Linked DNA regions of Schizosaccharomyces pombe. The main gene of each other region encodes a partner of the protein of the gene in region 2 in a complex. Each region holds a gene or a part of one and is shown on either strand. Other genes may lie near its edges.

The links.
Region 1: mrx14 (region 2) and mrpl23 share a complex: the UniProt entries of both Schizosaccharomyces pombe proteins name them as parts of the mitochondrial large ribosomal subunit.
Region 3: mrx14 (region 2) and mrpl27 share a complex: the UniProt entries of both Schizosaccharomyces pombe proteins name them as parts of the mitochondrial large ribosomal subunit.
Region 4: mrx14 (region 2) and mrpl22 share a complex: the UniProt entries of both Schizosaccharomyces pombe proteins name them as parts of the mitochondrial large ribosomal subunit.

What each region holds. Positions count from the first base shown.
Region 1 is NC_003423.3:4,217,424-4,221,442, forward strand, and holds mrpl23 (mitochondrial 54S ribosomal protein uL13m), read left to right. Parts: upstream 1-2,349; 5' UTR 2,350-2,479; coding exon 2,480-2,500; intron 2,501-2,542; coding exon 2,543-2,995; 3' UTR 2,996-3,193; downstream 3,194-4,019. Other genes in the region: mrz1 (ubiquitin-protein ligase E3), read left to right, coding at 1,251-2,057; scs2 (VAP family protein), read right to left, coding at 3,522-4,019. UniProt on the Schizosaccharomyces pombe protein: Component of the mitochondrial ribosome (mitoribosome), a dedicated translation machinery responsible for the synthesis of mitochondrial genome-encoded proteins, including at least some of the essential transmembrane subunits of the mitochondrial respiratory chain.
Region 2 is NC_003423.3:3,802,234-3,807,470, reverse strand, and holds mrx14 (mitochondrial 54S ribosomal protein bL34m), read left to right. Parts: upstream 1-2,442; 5' UTR 2,443-2,569; coding exon 2,570-2,896; 3' UTR 2,897-3,140; downstream 3,141-5,237. Other genes in the region: SPOM_SPBC21C3.06 (uncharacterized protein), read right to left, coding at 13-381; U2 snRNP-associated protein Sap62, read right to left, coding at 637-722, 786-1,227, 1,544-1,669; cqd1 (ABC1 kinase family protein ), read right to left, coding at 3,141-4,586, 4,642-5,237. UniProt on the Schizosaccharomyces pombe protein: Component of the mitochondrial ribosome (mitoribosome), a dedicated translation machinery responsible for the synthesis of mitochondrial genome-encoded proteins, including at least some of the essential transmembrane subunits of the mitochondrial respiratory chain.
Region 3 is NC_003424.3:1,431,914-1,435,777, reverse strand, and holds mrpl27 (mitochondrial ribosomal protein subunit L27), read left to right. Parts: upstream 1-2,379; 5' UTR 2,380-2,402; coding exon 2,403-2,579; exon of another isoform or gene 2,580-2,624; coding exon 2,625-2,729; 3' UTR 2,730-3,005; downstream 3,006-3,864. Other genes in the region: SPOM_SPAC3A12.08 (uncharacterized protein), read right to left, coding at 1-639; DNA-directed RNA polymerase II complex subunit Rpb11, read right to left, coding at 1,363-1,594, 1,641-1,730, 1,776-1,825; SPOM_SPAC3A12.06C (sodium/calcium exchanger), read left to right, coding at 3,123-3,864. UniProt on the Schizosaccharomyces pombe protein: Component of the mitochondrial ribosome (mitoribosome), a dedicated translation machinery responsible for the synthesis of mitochondrial genome-encoded proteins, including at least some of the essential transmembrane subunits of the mitochondrial respiratory chain.
Region 4 is NC_003421.2:2,026,509-2,031,107, reverse strand, and holds mrpl22 (mitochondrial 54S ribosomal protein uL22m), read left to right. Parts: upstream 1-1,973; 5' UTR 1,974-2,077; coding exon 2,078-2,827; 3' UTR 2,828-2,934; downstream 2,935-4,599. Other genes in the region: helicase Hrr1, read right to left, coding at 1-1,453; SPOM_SPCC1739.01 (zf-CCCH type zinc finger protein), read right to left, coding at 3,778-4,599. UniProt on the Schizosaccharomyces pombe protein: Component of the mitochondrial ribosome (mitoribosome), a dedicated translation machinery responsible for the synthesis of mitochondrial genome-encoded proteins, including at least some of the essential transmembrane subunits of the mitochondrial respiratory chain.

The DNA.
Region 1 (4,019 bases), 420 kb from region 2:
ATACAAAGTATATCCATTTTTATTGACTATGAATTTATTAAATAATGTTTTCAAGTGAGCAAGACGAACCCGAAAACAGAAAAACAATAAGCCCATAAATTTTTGTTTATTTAAGTAAATATCTCAAGCCGTCTAAATTAGTCATGTGAACTTGCAATCAGCATTACATTTTGACTAACTCTTAGAACTTATATGAAGTAGAAGTTGTTGCCTCGGTACCGCGGTATTATATGCAGTTCATTTTGTTTTGGAGAATGCAAAATCGAGTTCGCTCTAAACAATTCTTTTAAGCAATAATCTTAAAAGGCAAATATTGAAATCAAAGATACGTAGCTGTTTCAACTATAAACAAGTACATTCCAAATTTTAAATCTAGAGATTAGGGTTTTCCACGGTAGTTTAAAGAGCGAAAAGGCATTCAGATGAACAAAAGATGCTAAGTTTTTTAGCTAAACCCGCTTATACTTTCTTATTTCTCGAGGACTTTAGCCTCTCTACTTACCTAAAAGTTTCTGTACAGTGCAATACAGGTTACTTCGTTATATTTTTTAACTGTTGACTACGCAGTTCGGTATCTGTTTAACGATACGAAAAATTGCGGTACGTTTCTCTAGCGACCTACAATATAGCGGTATGCAATATTTAACTAACAATGTATATTTATTGTTATAAGAAGTCTATTAGTATCGGTCACCGATATAGCTAATAACTGAGCTGAGGAACGAGGTTCAGTGGTAGCTCTATTTACAATCTTTCTAATAGTTTTTAGCAATTTATTTATGTATGCAGAAAAGCAATTTATCCGCATCTATCAGCAAACGAATCTTAAGTAATATCTTAGCATATGACATATAGTGATACGCAACGTACTGTATCATAGCTAGTGTAGTTCTGCTAACATTAACATGTACTTCTTTGTTTGTATTATGCATATAGCATTAACCGCGTTAAGCTAAGTTAACGTTACGAAGAGCGTACAGAAGAGATTCAGTTTAGTAACTGCGAATTGTTAATTGTTCTCATAACTTAGCCTACATCTAGTGTAAGACGACGATTGTGAAAATTCACCTTAAAAAATTCAACAAGTCTTGCAAATTATGACTTGAATAATTTTCCATTAAGAAGAATAAGCACACAATGTTTTTTGATGACAAGATAACTTGACATTCTGCCATTCATGCGGTTTCATACACATCAATTAATTTAGTGCATAAATACAATATAACAAGTTATTAAATTTTAGAAGAAGAATGAAAAAGCAATTCCTTGTACGTAAAAACTCGTCAAATTCTCGCTACCTTCGTCGAGATTGCGTTATATGTTTACAAAAAGATGGTCTTCGGGCACAGCTATCTCCATGTGGGCATGACCAGTTCGATTATTCTTGCATATGTCGCTGGATGGATCAATCCTTGACATGTCCCATCTGTAAGAGACACGTAGATTGTGTGTTTTATGGATTTCATGGGTCAAGTTTGTATAAGAAGTGGTATACTCAATCTTTGGGGTCAAATCAGTATTCGATTTCACGACAATTACTACGGCAGCCTTCATTTTCCTCCAGCGAAAACACTGACAGATTGGCCGATTTGCTACGCGTACGACGTTTCATCTATCAAAAGGCATGGAAAAGCTATGAAAATCCCTCGCTTTCATCACATAGGCAATATCAAATACCCACTCCTATCCAACTAGCTTCTAGCGCATCTTTATTAAAGAAAGTGGAAAGCTTTATTGCTAAAGAACTTCTCTTGTTTGAATATTTAGATGGACATCAAATTAACTTTATACAAATCTTTTTGATGGGTCTCTTACGAGTTCAGAATATTCAACATCCACAAACCATTGATGAATTAGCGGAATTTATAGGCCATGAAGAGTCCTCTATACTCCTCCATGAATTGCAAAGATATTTACAATTCCGTCCATTGTCGATAAGCAGCTACTTGTATAGCAAGCGATATTTGTATGGTCCGGAAGGCTTAACAATGGTTCAGCTGTTGAGTCAAATTGAAAACATTCAGCATGAATCTGGTCCTGAGACGGAAAATTCGTAATCAAGCGTTAATTGTATATTATTGCAATTTACTGTGATTCTTTGGGCTTATCAAAAATTAGTTTTATCATTGTATCGTTCATTGCCTTATTTTTTCTAATATATACAAATGGTATTTTTTGAAGCAATAGCTATTAGCTTTATCATGATTAGTAAAGGAGGTTCGTATTATGAATTGAAAAATCAATATTTAAGAAATAATAAATAAAACAACATTTTTGAAAAATAGAAATTTTGTAGGTAACAGTTACCTTACTACAGTTGCTTAGCATCCAATATTTACCCACACCTACAAGCTTGAGGAAACATTATTTGAGCAATTTTCCTACTTCTCTTTTATTAGAAACCACTGATATTGTACTGTCGCTTTAAGAGAAAAATCAGAAGGAACTGAGGATTTTATGATATAGAAATCTCAACGCGATGTCAACGTTGAATGGACAAGTATGAAATTAGTTTGACAGTTTCTTTTACTAACAATATCAGACAGCATTGGCTTACGCCAAAGTTTGGCATCATGTTTCTGCAAAAAATGTTCCTCTAGGTAGGCTGGCTTCCCAAATTGCAACTACTCTTATGGGCAAGCACAAACCCATTTATCACCCTGCAGCAGACTGTGGAGATGTCGTAGTAGTCACTGACTGTTCTGAAATTGGGATTTCTGGTCGAAAACTCGAAAATCATAAATATTATTCACATTCGGGTCAGCCTGGTCATCTTAAAGAGTGGACGATGGAAGAAATGGCTGCGAAACGGGGGCACAAGGATTTGTTGAGAAGAGCAGTTGGTGGAATGCTTCCAAGAAATAAGCTTTGGGATAGGAGAATGAAACGTCTTTATATTTACGATGGAGCTGAACACCCTTATAAGGCAAACATATTTCGTTCCTACCATAATCCTGTAAGTTCGCAAATTGCGAAGGAATTATTCTCGAAATAAGTGTTTAAAATCTCCTTTAATTTTAAAAGGTAGTTCAAAGAACAAAAGCCATATCCCTACTCACTTAAATTTCATTGATTTTTTGCATTAATGTTTGAACATTCCACAATGTCGTATGCCCTAAAAAGCTAACACATTTTAATATTGTTCTTTCCAAAAAAAATTATTTTATATAAATTAATGTTATTGTATTCACTATAAGAAGCTGTAATGTATTTAAAGACACATTTACGTTTGTGAACTGGTAAGAATGAATGTCTGGTAACCATAAGAGGACTACAACTTTTCTTGCGAGTAAAAAGTAGATAACATGAGACGTCGACATAAATAACGACATTTGGAAATTATCTCCAAAGCCAGATAAACGCGCTAAAAAGTACCCTATCGTTGTGAAGAGCAAACAAATTCAACAAACGTCAACCTAAAACCTTGCTTAGCAAAGGCCATATAAAGTAATAAAATCAAGAGCCATTAACTTAGGGAGAAGATTTTACACTTCTTATTAAACATATCTACGCTTTACATTTTAAAAGAAAAGATAGCCAATAAGGAAGAAAATCAGGCAAAGAATGATAACAATATTGGGAGGAATTCCTGGAGATTCGGTTAAAGAAGCACCAGTGGAACTCGAAGGGTCAGCTGAATAAGAGGGCTTGATTTGTTCCAAGGCGTTGTCGGAACTATGAGCACCTGCAGCAGGTTTTGCCCCTTGTAAAGATTCACGAGTTTCAGATCCGAGATTTTCAGAAACTTTTTCAACGGCAGGGGTAGATTCAGGAAGTTTAGAATCGAAATCATTCTTCTTAGTATCAAATTCTTCATTGACAGCTGATAAATTTTGGGGGACGGGAGGAGGGGGGTGGACTGGTGGAGTCGAAGAAACAGAGCGACGAGGGCTTTCTGAAGGCTTTGGAATTTCATTATCAATAATATCTTGTACCTTCGATCTAGCAACATCGGCTCCTTTGGAAGAAGCACTTTCGGCTGTCACAATGGTATCTTTGACAGAAGCAGCACCATTGTC
Region 2 (5,237 bases):
ATAGTATACAATTTAAGTGATACTAATTTTGTGATTAGGAAAGCTGGTAATGTCATCCTTAACTGGCTTTGCTCTTGCAAAACTAAGCTTTTCTCGAGCATAAAGACCAAATTCTTTTATATTTTCAACACCAATTGTTCGCATTATCAAACAGGAAGCGAAGGTAAAGGTTGAAACAGTTAATACTGATGTAAATGAAAACAATTTCCAAGTAATCAAAGTTGGATGCACCATTTTCTCAACAACTGGGTTTGGAGAAAAAAAATTAGGCCGTTTTAATATTGTCCGTTGTAGAACCCATGTAGACCAAAGGAAAGTTGAGCTAGATATCGCAAAAATCGCGTCCACTGTAGCGACATTTGCTAATTTATCGAACGCCATACAGTAGAAGTTAGCCAACTTTATCAATTGGTACTTCCACAAATCTGGGAAAATAAGTATATAAATCACCAAAATAGGTTTAGCTAGCACGGTTCTTCTACAATTCACGTGTGGAGAAACAATTCAGAATGATTGAGTTCGAATTCTTTTACACACATAAAGAACTGCGGTATTGATAAATTGGGAGACTGAGCGAAATATTTGGAAAAGACATTTTGTTTCATAAAAAGGAAATTTAGGATAGCAGCTCAAAATTTACGATATTTTTGTTAAGTTGTAAAAGAATTGGATAGTATATGTAGGTGCATCCCAATAACTCCAAAATTTCCCGGGTGCACGATCTATTTCGTGAGCATCTGCGCAACAAAGTTAATATAAATAAAAAATCAGTAAAACCAACATACCAATTTTAAAGGCTATTGATTCGTATGGTTCAGCAGCCACTACCAGATACTGAAACTTTCGGTCAGGAGCTTCAACACGCTGTTCATAAGCACTCATAATTCTGTATCTTGGCTTAGCGTTCACTTCAATATCTGGATACTTTATTTGGAAACGTAGGCCAAATTTTCCGCTTTCGGCTTCTCTTATTTTGGACACTTTATAACCGGGTCGACCAATTTTTACGACACTTTTTTTAACCTGGACATGGGATTGAGAAATGCCCAACAACACTTGTGGTGCATTCTCTTGAGACTTTTTATTTTCGAGAGCCTGTCTCCTGGCTAAATTTGTCTGGTGTTTTTTACCTTGTGTATGGGTAAGGTAAGAGTTTTCATTCGCATGTGTAGTGAGGCAAAGACGACATTCAAAAGTGCCTAAATGATTTTTCATCAAATATGGATCCTATAAGAGATTAGCAATAGAAATATCATCGCAAAGAGTTTGAGGAGGAAGCTTCAAGGTGATTGACAGGGTAAAAAAAAGATGTCCAATTAGTGTAACATGCAAAACAGCAAACAAGGAAGTAGAAAGCAAATCCTTTTCATTTATTATTGTTGTTATTTTAGTTGTTATAGTTAGCGAATTTAACAGCAACTACTAATAAACTTCAATAATATGTAACATACGTACATGTCTTACTTTACACGATTAATTCATCGGTAATTATAATTGACATTCAGCACTCAAATTTTCAGAATTCAGTGGTTTTTAAACATACCTTTGATAAATCAATGGTTTCTAGCGCCAATTTACGAAGACGCTCTCTACGTGCAGCATTTGTTTCTTGATAGCCAGCAACGCCTCCTCCTCCAAAACGAACACCTGCGCGGTTTTGATAATCCATTTTTTAGTTCCTAGAAAATCCAACACTTATTTTTCTGTACTTTCACAATGACAATAAAGTCCCCTAAAAGACGGTGGCAGAGGCTGTACTTTCGTGAACCCCTATGTTTAAAGAAATATCGCAATGCAGAACAATACGCTAAATTCTCATCGTCGATGCCTTTTTTTTAACAAATATTTTAAATAGCAGATTAGAGCTCCTTTTCTCCATTTTATTATGTCACGTAAAAACAAAAAAAAATAATAACTTTTGATAAATTTAATGTATTGATGCTCCCATATATGAGTATATTTAATATGCTTTCAATATTTAAAAAGCCGGGACTGCAGCAATTTGCTTCCAATTTAAAATACTGGGTATTATTAATAAAATAAAATAGATAAAAGAAAGTATAAGATGTCATTTAACTGCTAAAACCTTTTTTGTACTATAAATTATCACTTTTAGCCCATGAATCGAATTCATTAAACTGATGGATTTTACTATTTGGTAATCTCATGCCAATTATTTGTTGGGAAAAAGCAAAAGCGATATCAAATTTTAGGGGTTCAGGTTGCTTTCTTTAAGGGCGTATAAAGAATGGTTAATGAACTATTTATTAATAATAATAGTATTATTATTATATTACCGACATTCCAGTGAATTGAATGAAACTATTAAAACGTAGTTATTGGATTTTAGCAAAGATTTTAATTTATTGTAACACAAATATTTGAAATTTAACACTTCGAATGTCAAACGGTGCTACACTGATTCACTTCAACCTTTCTAATAACCAGCTACTCCATCACATCTCAAATCTCTTCATTTTGCACATTTACGTTCATATATAATTTTTATATTATTTTTTGAAATTTTTTCTCTTGAAATCCAGTCACCTGCTTTCATTCCTATTGCTTTATGATGTTTATGCAACAATTTCGAAATTTGTTGCATCCTGCCATGAAGGGAGCCAGGAATATTTCAATATTAGCTGGAGGAGGAACTATGAGAGGGTTTCCGACAAGAAACCCTTTTAATACCGCTACTTTATACAGTTCTTTACCGACTATGAACATCTTCGGTCAAATGCAGCAAGTGCGTTGGAAAACGTATGGAAACGAGTATCAACCCTCAAATAGAAAGCGTAAAAGAAAACACGGATTTTTATCTCGAATTCGTTCTGTTAACGGTCGTCGTGTTTTACGAGATCGAAGACAAAAAGGGAGGATGTATCTGAGCCATTGAGTACATATTATCTTTTAATGGGCTCTAATTTGCATTAGTAACCTCTATCAATTCTTCATTTAAGTAATGCTTTCTAGTTTGTGATACATTTTCTTTCCATTGGTTCTTTGTTTAATTTTACTTGTTGAACTTTGAACTTTAATAACTTCTTTAAAACACGAGTTTATAAAATTTATTTTCCATGTCTGCGACTATATTTTTCATGAACAATTTTCCATCATTTATAAAATAAACCGTAATTTTTTTATATATTGGGTGCGATCATATCGGACTTAACCCACTTTTCTACCGTTTCTTTAGAGGTGCTTAAAAGCAAAAATTGTCTAGCTTCTAAAGCTATCCATAATTGAACCATTGGGTTTGTGAGTGAGACATTGGATTTCGATGAAGCAGAACGAAGATATGGTGTAGCATTACTTAATAGATCCATTTCTGGATATAGTTGGCGTCCAGCGCCTTCAACTAAAAGGATAGATAGCACAGTATTTGCGAAATTTGCTTCAATTCGAACATGATGCTCTCTCGCCATAGTCATTACTTCTTGTAATATAGTTCCTATTTGAAGTGATTTCAGTGAAAGCGTGCTCTTTTGAATTTCATTCAACAAATGTTCCATTTTAAGAGCAAATATGTCTTTGTTTATAACGCGTTCTGTCTGCCTGCTCCTTTCAACCATCAACAGTCCAGCCTCATAGCCATGGAAAGTAAGTACGGCTTGAAACAGATCCAAAAAATTTTTCTGATCCTGCGTACTAAGTTTCGTTACTAATCCAGCATCCAAAAATACTAAAGTCGGTCGATAGCCCAAGATGTTTAATTCTTCCATAGCAGAATCCCATTCCTCCGTCGAACATGTACTTAGAATTTTATAAATTGAGTCATTAATCTCATTATCTTGATTAAAGATTGTTTTAGGGATTCCTTTGTAAAATTTAACAAGGACATTACCCGGATGAAGATCAGCATGTGTAAAGTTGTCAACAATAAGCATTTGAAATAATGCATTATTTCCTGTGTTAGCTAACAACTTGTTAAATGGTCCTGACTTATGTTTGAGGAACGCGCTTAATGGGATACCCGGCATATAGTCTTCTAGTAGGATTTGATTAGTCGTGTAATCATCATAGGGAGCTGGAAATTCAACATATCTATTTCCTCTAAAGTTAAGACGGAACTGGTTGAGATGAAGCGCCTCATAATGTAAATTCAATTGCTGGTTTAACATTGCCCCAAATACCTTAACTTCGTCGGGCAGAGAAAGCCACTTCATTGAAGGTACCAAATTAATTAATTTTGCGAAGAAACCTAAGATTTGTAAGTCTAAAGAAATGTATTTTTCAACATTCGGGTGCAAAACTTTAATGGCTACATCTTGAGTCACTGGCGCATCAGAGATATTTTTCTGTCGAAACCCTATAGATTGTAGCATACTTGTAAAGTAGGAATTATCTTGCTGCGTAGCTGCTTTCTTGATGGTAGCCGTATAGACTTGAGCAATTGCTCCAACACCTATAGGTATTGGGTTAAAATTAACAAAAATTTCCTCGATAGATTCCACTTTATAAGTCTTGCAGATGACTGATTGAGTATAGGCAAGGCTGTGGGGCGTTACATGTGAATGTAATTTGGACAGTGTTTTACAGAAAGCAGGAGGAAACAAATCTGTCCGTGAAGCAGCCCATTGTCCCAACTGCAAAATAAAAAAATAATGTTAGTAACATGATAAGCGTAAATTCAAAACGTACCTTGATAAACGTTGCTCCTGCTCTTTCTAATTGAGTAACGAGGAAACGAAGCCAAATGGATACGGTTAAAGACGACAAAGATCGAAGATGCAGGAAAGAAATAAGAGCGATAAACGGTAAGGTAATAATAATTGGAGAGAAAATAATAAATAAATTAAATGACCTGAGGAGAATATTAAAAAATTGTTTTATTTTTCCAAAAATAGAACGAGGTCGATTGCTTCTCTCTTCTAATTCAAGTTCGTCAAAGGAGAAAATATTATTCTTTCGATTTTTGACTCTGTATAAAATCCATAATCCTCCGACCGTAAAAGGGAGGACAAGAAATGTAATCCTTAGTATCCTCCATTGCTTCTGGTCTTCACTTTTTTGTCGGGTTGTAAACTTTCTTGCAAATATAGGTTTGGGGAATAAAGATATATGCTTCAATCGATTAACCAGTACGTGCTTTTTTTTGTATGGTGACCAAACTGACTGTGTCCCGCATAACCTTTTCCATCTTGTGTTCTGCGAGTTAACGACAGGAATATAATTTCTTTGAATAATGAAAGCAAAACGAGAGTTTGCAGAAGGAATCATGCTTAGACTAAGTCCCG
Region 3 (3,864 bases), on a different chromosome or scaffold from region 2:
TTGTAAATCCAAAGCTTCAGCTAACAGCTGACTTTTAGAATTGTATAATCGTGCAACATCGTCTTTAACTCGAACGATTACCCAGTCTCCAGCAGGCACAGGCTTTTTGTAGTTTATGCTATAACTGGGAGTACGCACATCGAAGTTTTCAGTAGGAATAGGGTCCCGAGGCTGTGTTGATTGTGAATTTGCTTGCGATGATCTAAGATTCCGAACAGTCTCAAGAGACTCGATCAATAAAGTTGCAATGGCGCCCCCATGAGCCAGTTTCTGATATCCTGTCAAAGCCTTACCCATGAGTCCAATGCTGATCCATTCTTCATGTTCGGGGTCATAAAATGTTTTAAATACAGGTATCAATCCATCTTTAAAGGAAAGAAAATTGGAAGGATACTTAGATTGAAGCAAGGACGGATGCTCCTCCATTTTCATGCTGCGTTGACGTTCGCGATAAATGTTATCAATCATTTGAACAGCTTCAGGCGATTTCGAAATTTCAGAAATATGTTTCGCACTTGCTGGTAGTCGATGATATGCTGTATAGGCATCACTGGAAACAACCCAAGAAGCTAGACCGCCTACCATAAATCCCCCAATCCCTGCTAATAACAGCTTATTTTGAAATAATTTAGAGCTCATAATCAAAAATTGAACAAAGTTTCAAACTTTTCGTCACAATGTAATAGGAGCGTTTACTATTAGCGATATTCGGACGTTATAAAACTGATACGCAGATGGAGCATATGTGCAAAGCATAGGGTATCATTAATTTATGCAAGAATATTTATCGTATATTTTAAGAAAATATAATTACTTACATATCCAAAAAGTATTCTATAATAATAACTAATACAGGAATAAACAAATTTCGTAATGCAATTGAAGCAAAGCATTTGGAGAGAAAATGATGATTGTGAATAATTCAATGACATAAATTGTAATAGTACAACATTAATTAATTTATTTCTTTTAAGATTGAATGTAAGAATCGATGCTCTGCCCTACTGTAGGAAATTAATCACTTCGATTACATTCAGCAAAATTCAACTTTGAAAAAAAAAGCAATATCAGAGAATAATCCAGGTACCTAGAAAAACTTTCATCGCCATTGCTGCAGTTTTCTAGTTGGTTTATGAAGAAGCATATACAATAAAAGATCGGAGAACTTTCACCTTTTTTAAAGCATCTGTTTTCAAAAAAGAAAGAAACTTTTATTTTCCCTTTTAATACGACTTCGGTCCAAATTACAGAAGTTGCGAAAACGAAAGTCAAAATTTTTGTAATAAAGATGCATACAGAGGGTATTCTGTATTTTTTGAAACAAAACTCTAATAAATATTAGAGAAAAAGCAGCCGTGGATTTTAGGAAAACTCCATTTCAACGCCTTCAACAGATATCATTTTCAACTCCCATTCACGCATAAAATTAACTTTGATTTCTTCCAGATGAGTAATAAGGGACTTAGCAGCATCAACAATAACCTGCTTTGGAGAACAATCTTCTACGGTTTGTACACGAAGTATGAAATTGTGATTTAATGGATGAGGAACTTTGTAACCAGCAAAAAGAACCCTTTCGTCAGATAGGAGTTGACTTCGAAAAAGCAGTTAGAAAAGAAAAAAAAATTTAGAAGTCTTACTTTGCAAGCATATTAGCCAATGTATGATCCTCTTTTTCAAGAGTAACTACTGCGGCATTAGGTGATTTGCTATCGAGCTCATATGTGACTCTACACTGGTTAATGCAATTCCTTGTAAAATTGTTTATTCCTTACTTGGGGAGTCCCATAAGCTCAATGAGCTCATACCGTTCTGGCTGATTCATTATGCCAACGTTTTCAGCCGACTAGCTGAAGAAGAAGTAAGATGTTGATGCTTACGAGGGTTTTGTCCACGTTCTGTACATTAAGCATCACTATAAATCGTAATGCCATTTAACAAAAGCTTTAACACTTTATTCCACAACTCATCGTATTTCGTTATAAATAACGCGAACGTGAACGGACACTTAATATATATTTATCTGTTGGAAATCGGCTCAAACGAGTAATGAAATGGGAGATGTAACAGTATTTTTTAATAACTGATTTTAATAACTAAAATTTTTAAAGGCATATTTTGAGGCGTTTAATTGTAGATTAACCGTACTTGTTTTCATTGAACTGTGCAGAAAGATAAACAACAAGAAAGCTCATTTAAATGTTGAAAAAAAAATAGTTTTTCGTACTTATTTCATTTTTTAGTTTCATAATGTAATTCGTTTGTTCGTTTTAAACAAATATTTTTATTGTTTACATTCTATGTTTCGCTTTGACTGTTACCTTATACCGTTACCTTTTCTTTTATGACGGAAAACGCGCCAACTTAAACCCTCCATTTACCCAAATCGAGAGTTATTCAAAATGCATCAATCATTATTATGTTTTGGAGCAAGACGCTTGCCAATGACCACAAAGTTGGGTCATCAGTATTACAAGGGTACAAGAACTGGGAAAATGGGTCAAAAAACCAGGCATGGAGGTTTTCTTGTCCAGTGGTCGCGTGTTCGCACGTTTGTGCCTCCTTCTGGTGATTGTGAGGTATGTTGTAAATTAATGAATATTGTTTTATATTAACTTTCAAAGCTTTTGCCTTTTGTTTCTCGTCGAATTCAAGCCACTAAAGGAACTTATCCTGAAGGTGCAAATGGGTTGGATGGAGCTGTGTATTTTGATCTTGCTCATAGCTAGTATGTTTATCAGCCTCATTCTTTATTGTTTTGAAAAATTTTGGTACCCTTTTCAACTGTTGCTTTATTCTATCTGTTAATGATTGGGCATACACTTTGAAAGGAGAAATTTCTACGTTACGATACCTTATGTTGCGTTGACTGTTGTTATTTATTGTTTACGGACACGTATATTTATCGATATTCTGTTGTGACGTTTGCTTCTATTAAATATACTAGTTACATTCTTACTTTTTCTGCCAAAATTGGGGGCAATCTTGAGTACTGCGCATTTATATATTTATTATAGGATTAGTCTTTTTCATCCCATCTATCTTAGAAAAAAAAGGGCTGCTAATACCTAGCAATGCGGTTTAAGCATGGATTTTCTATATCTTGGATATCAGGTATAAAAATGTCGAAAACTTCATGTTTCTTGAAGAAATACAGACTAATATTACTTTGGTGTATCCTTGGCATTGCCTACATTTTATTCTGGACTCATCGGATTAGCAAAGCGTTTGCTTCAGTATCCTCGACTTCGGACTCAACCGTCCATCTTTTTGAGCGCGGAAATACCTTAAATGATAGCAACGACCAAATTTTACTTACATGCAATGATATCAAAAACATTACCCCTGCTAATCAATGTCGGTTTGCAAAGGCTTACTGTAAGGGAGAGGCTAGTGGGTTCTTTGATTACGTTGAATTTTATTTTTGTACCATTAACAGTCTCCGATTCCCAGTGTTATCAATAATTGTGGGATGGCTGATTTTCCTTTTCATAACTATCGGAATTTCTGCTAGTGATTTTTTTAGTACCAATTTGGTTACTATTTCGTGGCTACTTCAATTGCCCGATTCTGTGGTTGGCGTTACTTTTCTTGCTTTAGGCAATGGATCTCCTGATATTCTTAGTACGTTCGCTGCTGTACGTGTCAACAGTGGGGGAATGGCTATTGGGGAACTTTTGGGCTCTGCATTCTTCATCGTAGCCATAGTTGCTGGCAGCGTATGTTTAATAAAGCCATTTAAAATACCTCGGCGTCACTTCCTTCGGGATGTTGCTTTCCTTACCGGTACTATTTTACTTGTTATAATGTTTGTTTTGCATGATGGTTCGTTGAGTATTTGGCAGAGTCTCGTAATGATACTTT
Region 4 (4,599 bases), on a different chromosome or scaffold from region 2:
GCTTTTTGTGACGAATCTCATTATAAGCAGCCTTAAATGAATGCTTGGTGTGCTTTGCTTTTTGAAAAATCGTAACCGCTGCAATCTCAGGATCCTTCGTTCTTGAACCTAGTCGCATTACTGAAGCGCCTTGATGCAATAAACGAATCAATATTTGATCGACTGCATGATTCGTTTGGCAAGCTACTAAAATCGGAAGAACATGGGAGTGAGTATTCTCAAGTAATGTTTCTATGGCTTTAAGAGTAACAAAGCTTTTACCAGTCCCTGGAGGGCCTTGAATAATGGAGAGTCTCTTAGTCAGCATGGACTGGTAAGCTTTTAACTGTGACGAGTCTAGTATATACTCGCCAGGACCGAACGGCTCAAGAGCATTTACGATTTTTTGAGAGTTATTTTTTAAGATAGAATTTATGCGTATCCTAGGATTATTTTGTATGTGTTTAGCAGTCTCCTGATTACTTTTACAGTGTACCAAGTAATCCTTCATCGGGAATGTGCTAGCAGAAAGCCTCTGTAATGAACGAAGAACATGCTTGTAAGCTTCCCAATAGCCTGAAGTAGCTTCGATCATAACATATTCTTCTCGAGGATCTAAAGAGATACTAATATCTTCAAATTTGACATCTATTTCATGAGGATGTTTATTAAGGCCACTCAAGGGCCGCGCACAGACAGTTCCAATGCGAAAAGTCTGGAAATCATCATTGCTTAATAAAACTAAAGATCCACTGATAAGACGACGACTGGTAGCCCATTTTATTTTTTTCTTAGCGCGAACACTGAAGGATAATTTTGCAGCTATAACACTGGAAGATATTGTATAGCCATCTATCCGCACATGATCATATACGGCTAACGAAGAGCCGGTAATGTAATTGGGGTTTACCTTGTACCGAAGCACACTTTCTCGTAATGGGGAAACTGCGTCCTCACGTAGCAACCGATAGTGTATAGATAAGTAATCTTCAAAGGACTTGTATCCTCCGTATATGTTGTTTGAAGGTAATTCAACACTCTTTGACGTCAATTCTTCCAACGTTGGAATTGATGGTAGTTCCCGCCAAGAAGAAGTATCGCTTGCGGGATGGTGTTCGTTTTCGAATTCTCTATTTTTTCCCGATGTTATATCATTTCTCTTTACATTACTCAATTCATAATCGTTGTCAATGCTTCTCTTACGACGTATTGACTTGTTTTCTTTTAAATTTTTATCAACTTTGTTCCCCTCCGAGTCTTGGGTTTTGGAGGTTTCAGAAGTCTCGATTTGTTCTGTGAAACTCGTAGTATTATTATCGGCGTTAAAGATGTTGCTATACAATGGGTGTCTTTTCATTTCACTTAAAGTTTCTGGCTCGGGGATTTCATCAAACACAACTTCTGTATTTTTGTTCACCATTTCCCAGGCGTCCAGCGTACTTAACTTCCAAATTTCATCTTGTACTTGTTCCATAATAAAAAAGAAAAGGATAATATCCAAAAAATTTCAAAAGGTTATTGTACTAAAATATCTCAGTACGCGCCCACTAGGTCGTAATATTAATCTCGTCCTCCCCAAAGAAGCTAAAAGATATCATAAATAACAATTCATGTACAGTCTCTGCACCTGTCTCTAATATTATTTGTCTAACATACAAATGGGTTGTTTGTTTACTGCCAAGGGCCGTTTTCTGTCTTTACGTGACCATGCATTTAACGCGTTCAGATAATACCCGCAATGTGCAGCTTAGTGTGCCAGCATAAAGCATGTAAGCATGTGTTAACATCGTTGTAAAGTTACCTTATCGTAGTTTATCCATCCTTGAAATAGATTTACAAACTGAGTAGCTTGCATAGTGATAGTGAGCTCTCTCATTTAAGATTTTTATAACTGTATAAGGAGGGAAATGCTAACTGACCTATAACATAGTACAGTTAGCAATTCGTTAGGTTGCAATTCCTATTAGTACCACCTTGGCATGTAATATTTACCTGGTTTTGTTACAACATTGAGAAAGCGCATTTGCTCAAATTAGTCGAAAACGTTGACTTCTATGTGTGGAAGGAATATTTGGGAAAAAATTTTTAAGATTTAATTATGAAATACATTAATCAATTTATGAAAATATCAAAGGGCTTTTTAGTTCCATCGTCCACGATAGGATTGAATTCTAAAACGTACCATTACAAATTTCCATTACTTTCTTTTGTTAGAGAATTTTCAAATGGATCCTACTTAAGGGAGTCTGCACAAAATCCTGCAAATTTGGGTTCGCAAAAAGGGTCCGACATTTTCTCAATGCTTGCTAACCAGAAGGACGATTCTAATCGTCAGCAAAAGGAAGAGCGTGTAAAAGAGAGACCAAGGTCACGTATTTCTTTCAAAAAACAGGAGACCATGGATCCTTCCTACACCTTACAATCAATGGTGCTTCGCTCCTCTTTAAAGAAAGTCGGCGCTTTGTGTCGTCAAATTGCCCATAAGCCATTTTATCATGCTTTACTTCAAATGAAAATGTCAGATAAAAAAATTTCCAAGTACATCGCAACTGCTTTGGTTTCTGCTCGAGAAAACGCTGTTCGTGAAGCTGGTCTTGATGAGAGTACTCTCTACGTTGATCAAATATGGGTTGGAAAGGCAAAGTATTTAAAGAAACTTATCACTATGGGCCGTGGAGGTCGTGCCATTGAGAGATCTCCACGGGTTCGAGTTACTGTTGTTTTAAGAGATGAGCGAGCTCTCTTGCGCGATTTACAGCGTCGTCAACAAAGACTAGAAAGAAAGAAAGTTTGGACGCCTCTGCCTAACCGACCAATATACCTAAAATCTAACTTTTTCACTTGCTAAGTCATTATTGAGATGCCCATATCTTTGATACTCTAATAATATTTCCCCCCAATATCGTTTATAGTAATTCTAGTGCCGTTTTTTTTTTATGAGAATATGGTTTCCCTTATTATTTATTTCTTTAGCAACGCCATAATTTTGTATTTACCTCTATGGTGCTGATGGTATCAGTAGAAAAATAGTACTGTAAAAAGGTAAACTAACCAACCTGTACATACATCACTTTTAGTTCAATGATACGTTTTCGTAAAGAACGCAATTCTTTTTAAACTGTCTAATCTTATTAAATCATTCATGCAATCGTTTGCCTCATTAACATTTTTCAAATTTGGTTTGAAGCATTGCAACGAGCTTCTTTTTTTGACTTTTCAAAACGTGCTTTGGACCATATGTTGAAGCTATCCATATCTCTTCACCATTTTGACACATATTTATTGGTTCTAAATTCATCAGACACTTTTAAACAATCAAGCAAACCGAGTATAAAATATCATTAATTCCCCAATTATTAGGTGTAAAGGTACGCTGGATCCGCATTTTAACTCATTTGCAGTAGCAAATGATCAGTAGGAAAAAAAAGGAAACAAACCGCATCAAATAGACAGTAATTCTTTTTAATGGGCCATAATGAAAAAATAAGTTGAGATAGTAAATGTATCAACTATATTAACTTGAACCACAACAATGAGTTTTTTTTTTTAAACTGTGGGTAAAAATTAATTTAGAGAAAATCAGTGTTTTCATTTAAGAATGTTTGGAAATAGAAAAAAAAATTTCGCATATTTAAACAAGACGTTTTGCAGGGTCATATGTTGCTAACCCCAATTTAAAAACATATTGAAAACATGCGATAAGCACAGAGAAAATAAAAAATATGATAACTATCAATAATAATGCATAATTTAATAAAACATTTCAAGCTTTTTGTAAATTTTTCGACGGCATTCATTTTAATCATCCATTTGGAATGGCGTCTCTTCTTCCACCGTACTATTCCACGGAGGAGAACTATTAGCAACGGTTATACGTGATACGCTATTATTGGTACTCACGACAGGATCATTTTTTGTATCACCAAGACCAGCGATGGTTTCCGGAGATGCTGTATCACTTCTAAAAATAGGCTCGCTCTTCAATCGAGCAAGACTCACAGGTCTTGAACCTTCAGTGGTTGGCGAGCTGAAGACGGCCTCTTCACGAACACTAAAACCTGAAGGTAACTTATAAGAGTTATTGACACTAGTGGCTAAGGGCGTGGTAGACATTGAACCCGAACCTTCAACATAACGAGACTTGGAGAAGTATGCGCCGAACCTACTACTGTTTAACGAATTCATAGTAGAGCTGGTCCGAGTACTTAAACCAGGACTTTTCAAGGAAGAAGTGTACTGCTTAAAGCTTGAACTTAATCGATTGATAGGTGATGAGCCCAAAATGCTTTCATCAAAGCTTCCTAAAGGCGTACTTAAAAAGCGCTGCTCCTCATCACTAACGTCCATTTGATGATTCAAATCTACTTTAGTGGGCAAGCTAGCACTAACCACTGAAGGAAATGCGCCAGCATAGGAATTACTACGAGGTACCTGTCGTCGTTGATTTATTCCCGAGCCAAGTGATAAGTTGCCAAGTGATTGATCGAGTGTAAGTCGAGGACGGGATAAAGAAACACCGGTTTTGGGAGCAAGAGGCGGGCTTTGTAATGGTAGAGATGCTTTTAATGGGTCTTGGCTTGTTAATCTAGATAAGGAAGACAACGTATCAGTGGAAGAACA